3 linked regions of the Tamandua tetradactyla genome follow. Each later gene encodes a partner of the first gene's protein in a complex. Links are inferred from orthologs where the notes say so. Each region holds a gene or a part of one and is shown on either strand. Other genes may lie near its edges. The genes, in order: GTF2E2, POLR2H and GTF2H5.

The links.
Region 2: GTF2E2 (region 1) and POLR2H share a complex: the UniProt entries of both Homo sapiens proteins name them as parts of the TBP-based Pol II pre-initiation complex. The link is inferred for Tamandua tetradactyla from reciprocal best matches to the Homo sapiens genes GTF2E2 and POLR2H.
Region 3: GTF2E2 (region 1) and GTF2H5 share a complex: the UniProt entries of both Homo sapiens proteins name them as parts of the TBP-based Pol II pre-initiation complex. The link is inferred for Tamandua tetradactyla from reciprocal best matches to the Homo sapiens genes GTF2E2 and GTF2H5.

The regions. Positions count from the first base shown.
Region 1 is NC_135352.1:12,981,933-12,985,680, forward strand, and holds the start of GTF2E2 (transcription initiation factor IIE subunit beta), read left to right. Parts: upstream 1-832; 5' UTR 833-965; intron 966-3,748. UniProt on the Homo sapiens protein: Recruits TFIIH to the initiation complex and stimulates the RNA polymerase II C-terminal domain kinase and DNA-dependent ATPase activities of TFIIH. Both TFIIH and TFIIE are required for promoter clearance by RNA polymerase.
Region 2 is NC_135336.1:2,713,808-2,717,555, forward strand, and holds the start of POLR2H (DNA-directed RNA polymerases I, II, and III subunit RPABC3), read left to right. Parts: upstream 1-1,313; 5' UTR 1,314-1,715; coding exon 1,716-1,788; intron 1,789-3,273; coding exon 3,274-3,357; intron 3,358-3,440; coding exon 3,441-3,534; intron 3,535-3,748. UniProt on the Homo sapiens protein: DNA-dependent RNA polymerase catalyzes the transcription of DNA into RNA using the four ribonucleoside triphosphates as substrates.
Region 3 is NC_135328.1:150,966,741-150,970,488, forward strand, and holds the start of GTF2H5 (general transcription factor IIH subunit 5), read left to right. Parts: upstream 1-1,476; 5' UTR 1,477-1,588; exon of another isoform or gene 1,589-1,692; intron 1,693-2,369; 5' UTR 2,370-2,402; coding exon 2,403-2,437; intron 2,438-3,748. UniProt on the Homo sapiens protein: Component of the general transcription and DNA repair factor IIH (TFIIH) core complex, which is involved in general and transcription-coupled nucleotide excision repair (NER) of damaged DNA and, when complexed to CAK, in RNA transcription by RNA polymerase II.

The sequences.
Region 1 (3,748 bases):
ATCTTCACACAATGTAAATAACCCATTGTGTTAATTTTCCCAAATAAGTTATTATTTTCCCAATAACTTAACCTAGACACAGGTTAAGTTATTTGAGGAGTAACCAGTACTAAGTAATTAAACAACGAGAGTGGTTAAGCATCGTCTTGGCTGCAACTGTAGGTTATAAGAGAGAGGAAAGGACAGCCCCAGGAAGTCTGATCTCCAGCACATTGCACCATGAGGGCAAGGCCGAGGATCTTTTCCCTTGCTTTATGTCCACTCCTTTATGTTGCCTGCAAAATCCGAAATGCTTTCCCACAGAGTTCAGAGTTGTAGTGGAAAAAACCCTGGTTGGGAGTTCAGAGACTGGGACAAATCCTCCACTTCAGGAGCTGTCTTTGCTAGCTGTGCCGTCTTGAGCAAATCATTTAGCTTCACTTTAAAAAGAAACGGCTGGGACAATGTACTCAGAGGTTCAGGTGCTGAGGACTGGCATTTGAGGTAAAGTCACAGTAGCCTTAAATCTCTGCAAAGGAAATATATTTCTTCCATATTCCTTTGTGCGGCCCCATCCCGCGCCGGCCCCAAGTCTGGTTCTCAGTCCCACTACCAGCCACCCTCCCGTTGTCATGGAGATCTGAACGCCCGAGAAAGGCTGAGTCCCCGCCCCAGGTACCTGTGGCCTGGCTCGCGAATGCGCACGCGCGTTCTCGGCAGCGCCGGCGCCGCGGTGGTTGCTGGGACTCTGCTCCTAGCAGCCCGATCAGGAAGTGGCGGGCGGAGCCCCGGGTCGCGTCGCCGCCTCAGCCGCCGCCGCCAGTGCCGAGACCCCGGCGAGCGGGTCAGCGCTGGGTGCGCGCGCGGGCAGGCGGGGGCGCTGACGAGGAGCAGGAAGGGGCGGCCGCGCCGGTGTGGGCGGCTGGCCGGGGCGGAGGTGCCCGAGAGGCAGCGGCGGGTCGCGTGGGGCGGCCCTCCTGGCTCAGGTAGGGGCTCTGGCGGCCGGCAGTGGGGCGCGGACCCCCAGCCTGTGGTTCCTCGGGACTGAGGGGGGCGGGAGTGTGTTCCACCTCCCCGGGAGGCTGGGGTGCCGTCCTCTGTTCGAAACTCCTCTAAACACTGTAACGATTCCGTGGGAGCATTGTCCTTTAGGCCGGAGCGTACATTTAGCAAACTTTTGGGTTGGAAAGAGGGAAATTCGCAATCGGACGGCTGATTTGTTCCTTTGAGTGCCTTCAAGTTTACACCAGAAGCATTTAAGCGAACTTTGGTATCCAGACAAATAAAGGCTGTGATTTAGACACATACTCGTCCACGGACTATTTCTTAGGCTGGCTTTTGGAGACCTAGTTGGTACTGACTTTTCAAGTTTAATTCTCATAGTTTTGTGCAAAGGCTAAAGACTTTTTTGTAAAGCAGAAAAGCTGCGATGCCTTTCCGCGCACCTCTACATTTCTGTCGTCTGGGAGGGAAGCAGCTTCCTCTCAGCCCGCCGGCTGTTCGTAGCAGGGTGCTTGGGTGTCAGTGGCACCCTCGAGGTTTAGTCGGGGGAAGCAGCAAAACAGAAGAGTAGAAAGGTTGAAAGAGGTCGGATGGTGTAGTGGAGAGGACCTGTGCTTTGGAGCCAGAAGATTTTGGTTTAGTTTTTGGCTTCTCGATGTTCATCCGTGGAAGAATACAACAGCAAACGGAACCTGTGGGGTGGTCATCGTGGTTTTTTTTAAATGTAAACATGTGGGTGGGGATGTGTCCAGTCTGATCGAGATGTAAACCTCAATGGAAATGTTTTTGTAATCCGAGAAAAGGGAAGAAGTGGAGAAAAGTTAGGAAGAGCATGCAGTGGTGAAAGAAAGAGATCGAGAAGGTGCCACCCAGGTCGCCTTTGTTTGGAGGCCTTGACCTGCTTTCCAGGTCTGGTGTAAAGAGCACTTAACCAGGAGTCAGGAGATTCGGGTCCTAGCCCTTTTTTTCCAGCTGTGTCGCCTTTGCTGTACCTCTTCACTTCAGATTTCACATATTAAAGGAGAAATAAACCTGATGCTTTATTATTTCATAGAGTTGTGAGGATCAAAGACAGTAAGCCTTTAGGTCTTTGTGAACAGTAAGGCTTTATTTAAACTTGTGTCAAAATCGTTATTAAAAGCTCAGATTTATTATGTTTGTAGGTGAAATGAACAATAAAAATTGAAATACAAATGCTTCCTGTTTTAGGAGATTACGATCTGCTTGTTGCCCCTACCATGTCACTTGTGAATTCTCATTCCTTATTCTCATACTGACACTTTCCCTCTTCCCAAAATATTCTCCTCCCTGCCTTGCCCCAGTATAGCCATTCTGTTATTTATTTCCAGATCCAATTCAAATAGTAATACTGTAGTGATGACCTTTATGTATATAGCATGGAGCTTGAAGTTTTTAAAAATTGCATTCAAAAACATTTTTTCATTTTGTCCTTATAATTGGGCCAAACATAAATAGTGCTGAAAGTATCCTCCTTTTACTTATGGTAAAATTGGATTTAGAGAGGTCTAGGGGATTGCTTAGGGCCATGCGACTCTGGGAACTGAAACTGAGACAAGAGGGCTGGCCTTTGACTTTGGGCCCAGTGACTTCACTTTTTACTTAACCACTTTTTGCTTAACTCTGTTGCTTATCGACACTTGTGTTTTTAATACTCCGAATCACATTTTATTTATTTATTGCTTTTTATGCACCATGCTTGTTTACCTTTGTGTTCTCAAATGTAAGCTGCTTGAGGGCAAGGATTTATCTTCCAGACCTTTTAAAACTTTGGAGCACAATGCCTCACAAACAGAAGATGTTTAATAAAACATCTTGTTGAGACCAGTAATCCTAAGGCTAGAGCAATTTAATGATTTTTAAAATTTGTTATTCACTTAAATATTTATTGAGCTACCTTGTGCTTAAAACCTTTCAGTGTTTGAGATGGAATCCTTTTTCTCCAGGATCTTACTGAATTATGAATACTAATCTTAACAATGTCATACTCATTCACATAGCTTGAGCTCTTTCTAGATCCTCTGCAGGCATCTATGAAGATTTCAGACAAGAGAAGAATGTTTTTGTAAATTCTTGTTTATTGATCTGTAGCTTCCTGGTTTAGCTAAAGTTTTTAGACTTGTCGAATTTTAGAATTGAGAAAAATCCCTGAGGGGCTAATTTAGTCCAAGCCTCCCAAATCAGGAATTTTCTGTAGATATTTCTAACAGATACTCATCTAGCCTCTTCATCACTAGTTAATTGAGAGTTCATCAGTTTTTAAGGTACATAGTTTCATATATAAGCACTTGAGATTACCCTTTCTCTCTCTTTTGTTTTTGTTTGCAATGGGCCTAAATCTACTTCCTGATTTTTTCTGCAAAGTCCTGATGTTGTTTTCTAGTGCAATGTTAAAAGAAACAGGTGAAATGAATTTTAATATTCTATTTAACCCAGTATATCTAAAATATCGTTTTAACACATAATCAATGTAAAGTATTTAGGTGATTGTTATATTTTCTTTGAAATCTGGTGTGTGTTTTACACTTAGAATATATCTCAATTTGGTCTAGCTACATTTCAGGTTCTCAATTGGTACGTGTGGTTAATGACTACTACCATACTGGACAGCACAGCTGTAGAGTTTAAAAGAATAATTTTACTTCTTTTTTCACTCCCTAGCACAGTCCTTGGCACATAATAGGCACTAATTAAATATGTGTTGGATGAATAAATGAGTGAGTAAATACGACAATTGTTAGAGAACTTA
Region 2 (3,748 bases), on another chromosome or scaffold:
GTCCCCTCCCGGGCGGGCGGGCCGGGGGCGGGGTCCTGTGCGCCGCTAGAGCCCGGCCCAGCGCAGTCGGGGTCTGCTTTGGGGCCGCCTTCCTTGGCTCGGGAGGGGCGGCCGAGGGCGCGGGGCCGTGCGAGCACCCGGGGCTGGGGCGGGGGCCGGTCCGCTGGCACGTGGAGGAGTCGGCGACCGTGAGGCCGACTGGCCTGGAGTCGGGGGCTGTTGGAGCTGTCTAAAGGAACCTAAGGAGCGCCGTCCTCTCTGCTCCGGCAGGGGTGGGGGTGGGGGTGGGGGTGGGGGGTGGCCCTAAAGGCTCGGCTGGGCCTGGATAGACCTCTCTAAGGGGGCATTTTGGACAAAAGAGCGGTGGGGAGGGGAGGTGCTTCTTGGTACCGAGACCCTGGGGCTCCGTCCTCCTCCCCTTCCTCCGGACCCCCGCCTCTCGGAGGTGCACTTGGAGGAACCTGGCCTGGGGGTGGGGGTGGAGTGGCTGACGAGGTAGGGAGGGATTGGAGAGGGGTAAGGCCCGCGGGAAGGGAGAGCTGGGTGTCGGAGCGGCCACTCCTGGTTGGCGGGCGTGGGGGGCAGAGGTCGCTTCTCCCCCGCTGGGCCCTAAGAGAAGCTCGAGGAGCTGCTCACGTCTCGCCACCCTAGGGGAACGGCCTGCGGGGGCTTGGTGTCCCCTGTCAGGGTCCGGGGAAAGATAGGGTACAGAGTTGGGGAAGCCCAACGGTGGATAGGCAATACCAGAGCGAAGTTAGTGAGAGGGCGAGGGCAGTTAGGAAAGGGGTAGCATACGGGACGGAGCAGCACCAGGATGAAAGAGGCAGAGAGGGTGCGCAGGGGGAGGGGAGCCAGCCCCAGGAGGAAGGGGCAGTGCGAGGAAAGAGCTGGTAGCCAAGAAGAGGATTGTGCCGAGATGCAGGGGTATACAGGAGATCAGTGTCCAGAGGGAGAGGGCAGTGGTGGGGGAATGGGCATCATCCGGCTTGAGGGGCAATTCTCCGGGGAGGGCGGCCGGGGAAGCGAGCAGGGCCCAGGACAAGAGAGCAGTGGTGGGGAGGGGACAGTGCAGGTTTTCCTTTTCCCTGTGGTGACATCACGGCAAATTCCCAAACCGGACGGACCCGGCTCAGGTGACGTCTAGCAGGGCAAGCCGGTCCGGGCCGCCCCGGGGGACCTCGATCCCAGCTGGAGGGCCTGGGCACGGCGCCTTGCCTAGCCAGTGCCCCCGAGGCGGGGTTCTGCTCCGCCCGCCCTCGGGGCGGACTGTGCCCTCGGCAGACACGCGGACCGGCAGGGTAGGGCTAGGGCCGGGCTTCTCTGGGCCAAGGATCAAGGTCCCAGTCAGAGGTATGCCTCCACGCTTTCCCGCCTTCGCAACCGAGAGTCTGAAGAGGGCGCAGTGGAGACCAGGCCAGCTAGAGAACTCGCACCACCTCTGCCTCGGTCAGGGGCGGGGCCAACCGGAGCCCCGCCCCCCAGTCCTGGAATCTCTCGGATGCTATTACTGGGAGCGGAAGTTATGAAGCCCCGAGAGGAACGCGACGGAAGTAGAGGCACTATGGCCAGCTTTGCGCATGCGCGACGCCCTGGCTCCCGCTGTTTAGGCGCTATCCTTTTCCTTCCACTCTTCTAAAATCCACACGAGGGGGTGTGCGGACCCCCAGTCGTGGTCGCGCATCCGGCACCCCCGCTGCTCTCGTGGCCTTTTCACGATGGCGGGCATCCTGTTTGAAGATATTTTCGATGTGAAAGACATTGACCCGGAGGGCAAGAAGTTTGACCGAGGTAAGGATTGCCGGCGCGCTTGGAGGGGAAGGGGCTATAGCCCTCCTCTGCGACACGCCCCCGGGTCCCCCGTCTCGTCCTGACTTGCGTGGCCTGCCCTTACCGGCAGGCCGTGATGTAGGGGACCTCCCTTAGGAAATTGTTGTTTGGAAACAACAACATTATTGTTTTTATTGTTGAGGAAACTTAGATTGCGAGTTCTCCCTGGCTTCACACATGCTGTGCCCAGTGCCTGGGTGGCGTTTTGTCACGGTGCAGATTGGTTATCTTTCGTAATTATAATCGCTCCCTCTGTGTTCAAGTAGCCATGTTTCTTGAAGATGATTGTATAATGATATAGCTTTTGCAGTGTGACTGTGTGATTGTGAAAACCTTGTGTCTGATGCTCCTATCTACGGTATGGACAGATGAGTAAAACATAGGGATTAAAAATAAATAATAGGGGGAACAAATGTTAAAATTAATTTAGTAGATTGAAATGCTAGTGATCAATGAAAGGGCGTGATAAGGGGTATAGAAAAAAATAGGGGAAACAAAGGCTAAAATATATTGGGTAGATGGAAATACTGGCGGTCAGTGGGAGGGGCGGTTAGGGGTATGATATGTATGAGTTTATTTTTTTCTTTTTCTGAATTGATGCAAATGTTCTAAGGAATGATCATGGTGATGAATATACAACTATGTGATGATATTGTGAGTTATTGATTATATATCAAGAATGGAATGATCGTATGGTAAGAATGTTCGTTTTTGCATGTTGTTATGTTTAAAAAAATAAAAAAGTAAAATAATAATAATAATAATCGCTCCCTGCTCTGCTACGCTTTCCATTGTGCACCTCACACACACTTTATCTTACTCATTCCACAGCCCCCATGAGGTAAGTGGTGACTTCTGTATTTTGCCGGAGAGGTTAAATAACCCACCCTAGGGTGCACAGCAAATAATCTGAATTCTGAGTTTATATTGTATTGCCTTCAGAATCCTTAGCTGTTTGTGAAGTCCTCTCTGAGTTAGTTAACTACTTGGTATAAATGTTCTGTCACTGATCAATAATTGTTTCTCCTTGGTGTCTCTTCCTTTGCCTGGAGACCAAAATGTTCTTTCAGGTGCACACCAGTCCTTATACATCCTGGCAATCCTCTCAGCACATAGCCTAACACAGAAAGACTAAACCTGTGGATGAATGAATACGTTGCCCAGTCAGGTAGTTTCTTACCTATACAGGGCTAGAACCTGGATATTATTCCCTGCCAGAGGACCTTTGATTCTCTTCGGGGGACTCCATTTCCTAGCCATAGTTTTCATCCCCTTTTCCTTCTTGCATATCTGGTTCTGGTGGAGCCTGTACTTCTATGAGAGTGGAGGAGACGCCAGTGAATGCAGAGCAGCTGGGTTCGATTGTGCTCTGTCGCATATAACCCCCAAAGTGGGTCTGTTCTGGGCATGGCAGTTACTTCTGCCCTCTTTTTTCACTCCCCCCAGTGTCTCGACTGCATTGTGAGAGCGAATCTTTCAAGATGGACCTCATCTTAGATGTAAACATTCAGATTTACCCTGTAGATTTGGGTAAGTGTTGTACACAGATAATAGCAAGGGACTTTTTGATGTTACAACTTGTTTTCATGCTCGTATATTGGCGTTATTTCCAGGTGACAAATTCCGATTGGTCATAGCCAGTACCTTGTATGAAGATGGTACACTAGATGATGGTGAATACAACCCCACAGATGACCGGCCTTCCAGGTGAGGGAGTTGAGAAGAGGCTAATTGAAATACCCTCTGAGGACGAGTAGATAAAGTGGCGTAGAAAGACCCTTATTTAATTCATGGAATAAATGATTATCAGCAGAATCTGAGTAACCTCAAGGAAATTGCTGCATTTAAGAATTGAGATAGACAGGTATTTATCAAGCAGTGATTACATGCTTGTGAGTTGTAGTTTTTTGATGGCTGAGAG
Region 3 (3,748 bases), on another chromosome or scaffold:
CACCATTTACTGAATAGTCTGCTTTCCCCCTGCCTTATAATACCATTTACTGGAATACTAAGCTCCCACAGATGTACATGTAGGCTCTCTATCCTGTTCAGCTGGTCTACTTTCTATCCCTGAAGCAATACCTTTATTTTGACTGCTGTTACAAATTACACCTTTTTATGCTATTAAAATTTCCAGTTATTGCAGGCCTACAGAAGTAACGTTCACATTCAGCAATTTTCCTGAAGGCCATTTCTGACATCCCCTAAGCAAAGTAACCCTTTCGTTACTCTGTTACACACTGCCACCTGATACCTTCTTGTTAACTGATTTGTTTGGTGTCTCCCTTCCCCTACTAAAATTAGTTACTGGTTTAGTACTGTATCCCCAGCATCCAGAATAGTGATGGCACATAAAACAGGAGCACAAAAATATTTGCTGAATACATGGATGGAGGTTTTAAATCTAGATCATCCAGAGAAATTCAAGTTTTTTCAAATGAGAATGAGAGATAAGAACTAGTTCAATTTACGAGGCCGAATTTAGAGTGCTCACAGTACATTAAAGTGCAGGTACTGCACTTTACCAGCTACTGGAGCTCAATAGTGGCTGTTCAACGTGATGGAACTAATGAGATGGTCAAGAAAGAGAATGTAGACCAGAAAAGGAAAAAGCAGATTTTAAAGAGAGCAAGCAATGACATGGAAACCAACAGGAGGAAAAAGATTTGAGGGAGAGAAAGAAAAAGAAAACCTAGGAAAAGCTAGGTTCCTAAAAGATCTCATGCGCTTAACTAGGGGAAGTATAATTTAACCTAAGGCAGAAAGCAAGAACCTCGTATCTCACTTTGTTAAAAAAAAAAAAAAAAAAAATTAAAGAGCTCAGACTACAGATCAGAATTCGGAGAAGGGATTAATTTTAGAACCTTTTGGCGTCTTTCACCTCAAAATTACCGTTACCCAGGTTTGGACACCTCACAACATTAAAGCTATTCAATCACTGGGGTCAGAGCGTGAACAAGAGGCTGTCGTACGGAAGACTGAGATTTGAATGATTAAATTGTCTCCTCTTTGTCAACATGTCTTCCTGACTACAGAGCCCAGGCTTATGCTACTGGCAGGTGCTCTACTCTGGGGGAGAAAAGAGATGAGCAGCTAGTGAGAGAGAAGAGCCAGGCTTCCAAGGTCCGGAGAGAGACGCTCGCGCCTTGCGGCCGATGTCCGCGGTCAGTCCAGACCTGCGCCTGGGGTTCGGGTCCGAACCCTGCCTTCCCACGCCCGCCAGGACCGCTCCCACAAGCCCAGCCCCAACCCCTCCTACCTGCACAGCGCAGACTCTGCCCGCCCCCAACCGTTCACTCCGGCACCCAGTCGCTGGGGTGAGGAGGGAAGGCGCGGAGCCCACCCTCTCCGCCACTGGGAGCCAGCACCCTCCTCCCAAGTAGCGCGAGGCACGTGATCCCACCCCCGCAGACCGGGCCGGGTATTCGCTCCGCCTCCCGCCGGCGCGCTCCACCCTCAAGAGCGTGGTGACGTGCACGTTGCTCACACAGTCGTACTCCGTCTGCGACGCCGAGGCTCGGCTGCGTCTGTAGGTGGAGGTGCGTACTGGGCCTTGGAGTAAATGGGTAGAGTGGGGTACGTGGGAAACGATGGGATCCGAAAACTGAAGAGAGTTGGGGAAAGCCACATATCTGCTCTCCAGGTACTGGGTTAGTAGCCAGGGTCCCCACCCGCTCTGGGTCTTTCCTGACAAGTTCGGGTGGCCGTTTTTGTAGGCTTTGTTGCAGTATCATAGATTTATTTTGGAGCATGCATTGCTCCGCGCCCAGATGAAAAAGTGCGAGGGTTTAGTGGGCGTACGCTGTTGATTTCCTTCAAATGCAAATCCTTGAGGGACGTAGTTTGGTGAAAGACCTAGCTTGTACATTTTTGCCCTTTTTTTTTTTTTTGGCTGGAGCTGCTGCTTAATCTCATCGCCAGCTGTGAAATGAGATTCTTGGGCTTACTATATAGTTTTTAAGGCCCATTTCAAAACTACCATTCTGTGATTCCTGCCTCCCAGGATCTTAGCTGTTATACTTCTGGGTGGGAAAGTAAATCTCTCCAGTAATGGATATGTTTTAAACCTGGGTTGGACACACTGGTGTGGAGTTAAACATGTTGCTTTCATTATGATTAATTGACATTGGGTAAAATAATATAAAGAGACTCGTTTTAATCTTGTTAAAAATTCAGAATCTCAATCTGTTTCTTAATGTTGGCACTTTTATCTTTCATGGACTTAAATATTATATATTGACATTTAATATTTGAAATGAGGGAAATCTCAAAGTATAGCAACTGATGTTCTTTAATTTTGTCATCTCTCCCTTTTATTAGCATTCTTGAAGTCATTGCATCTGAGTGGGAAAAATGGTCAACGTCTTGAAAGGAGTGCTTATAGAATGGTTAGTAGTTTTGATACTTTGTGAGTTTTAAAATCTACATACTGAATTTGATTTATATGTATTCGTCTAAAATCCTATCCATTTTTTTCTTTTAATATCAATGAAATAAAATCTTTTCCTACTTCCTCAACTTTTGTTTTCTTACTTACATAACAAATGGGCAGTTTTTGTTGCTAAATTCATTCCTGGTGCCACATTCCAATGTCTCTGTTAAATTAATATAATTGGGATTATTTTCAACAGTTTATATAATCCAAGGCATCTTTATTTGTTAGATTAGCACTCTTTGGAGAAACAGGCCTTGTAAACCCCTCAAATCATCAGATTGAATAGAATTTTAGGGACCGCAGTAGTTCAGGAATTCGCCTAAATCTTCACTATTTCAAACTGCCATCTTAAAAAAAAGAAAGGAAGAAAGAAAAACAACAGAACCAGTTGAAGAAAGTTTTTTGAATGCCTTTATACAAATCCCAGAGGAGAAACTAGAAACCGTAATGGGCTGAATTCCGCAAAGTAATCTAACACAGGGCTTAGTTTTAACACAGGTTCACCTAGTCTTAATCCCTGAACTGCTGGATCAGTCTGGCTCTGTCTCCACTTGCCAGTTTGGCCACCAGGAATTCTGTCTCATCTGGGAACACTGCCTTGTGGACCCTCCCATTGTTTCAAATACTATTTACTGTGCTTTGTGCCCCTAAAATGATATAATCTCATGCTTAGCTAAATCACCTCTCTGAAGTGAGCAATAACATTGTGCAATTCAAGGAACTCCAGATAAATAGTTTGCTATCTTGGGAGCTTAGATTTTTGTCTATTTGGTTGGAAGGTCAGAATGATAAAAGTGAGACTGGCGAGATTGGCAGAGCCAAATCATGAAAAAGAAAAAAAAAAAAGCCTGGTATTCCATGCCTTTAAATCTCTTAAGTGTTTAAAACCCAAGAGTTAACCTGATTAGATTTCCTGCCTTGTGGAGAATAGATTAGAGAAGTGATCAGCTAGAGTCAAGGATATCAGTAAGGATAAGCTATTGCAGTCTCTCAGATAACAAATGGCAGTGGCCTGAGCTAAAATGATGCTTGTCTAAACCTTAAGTAGATTCCTCCTTCAGCCATTTATGTGGCTAACCCACAACTTTTCCCACGTCAAGAAATTGATAGAGGAAAAAGCTATGTTGGTTATATATCAGCAGCTATGAGGTTAGTAAAACTCAGAAACAATTAAATGGCCTCATTTTTCCTGATTTACAGGGCTTTTTGGCATATTTCATACATTCAACAAATATCTGTTGAGTACCAACAAATATTTGAGGCC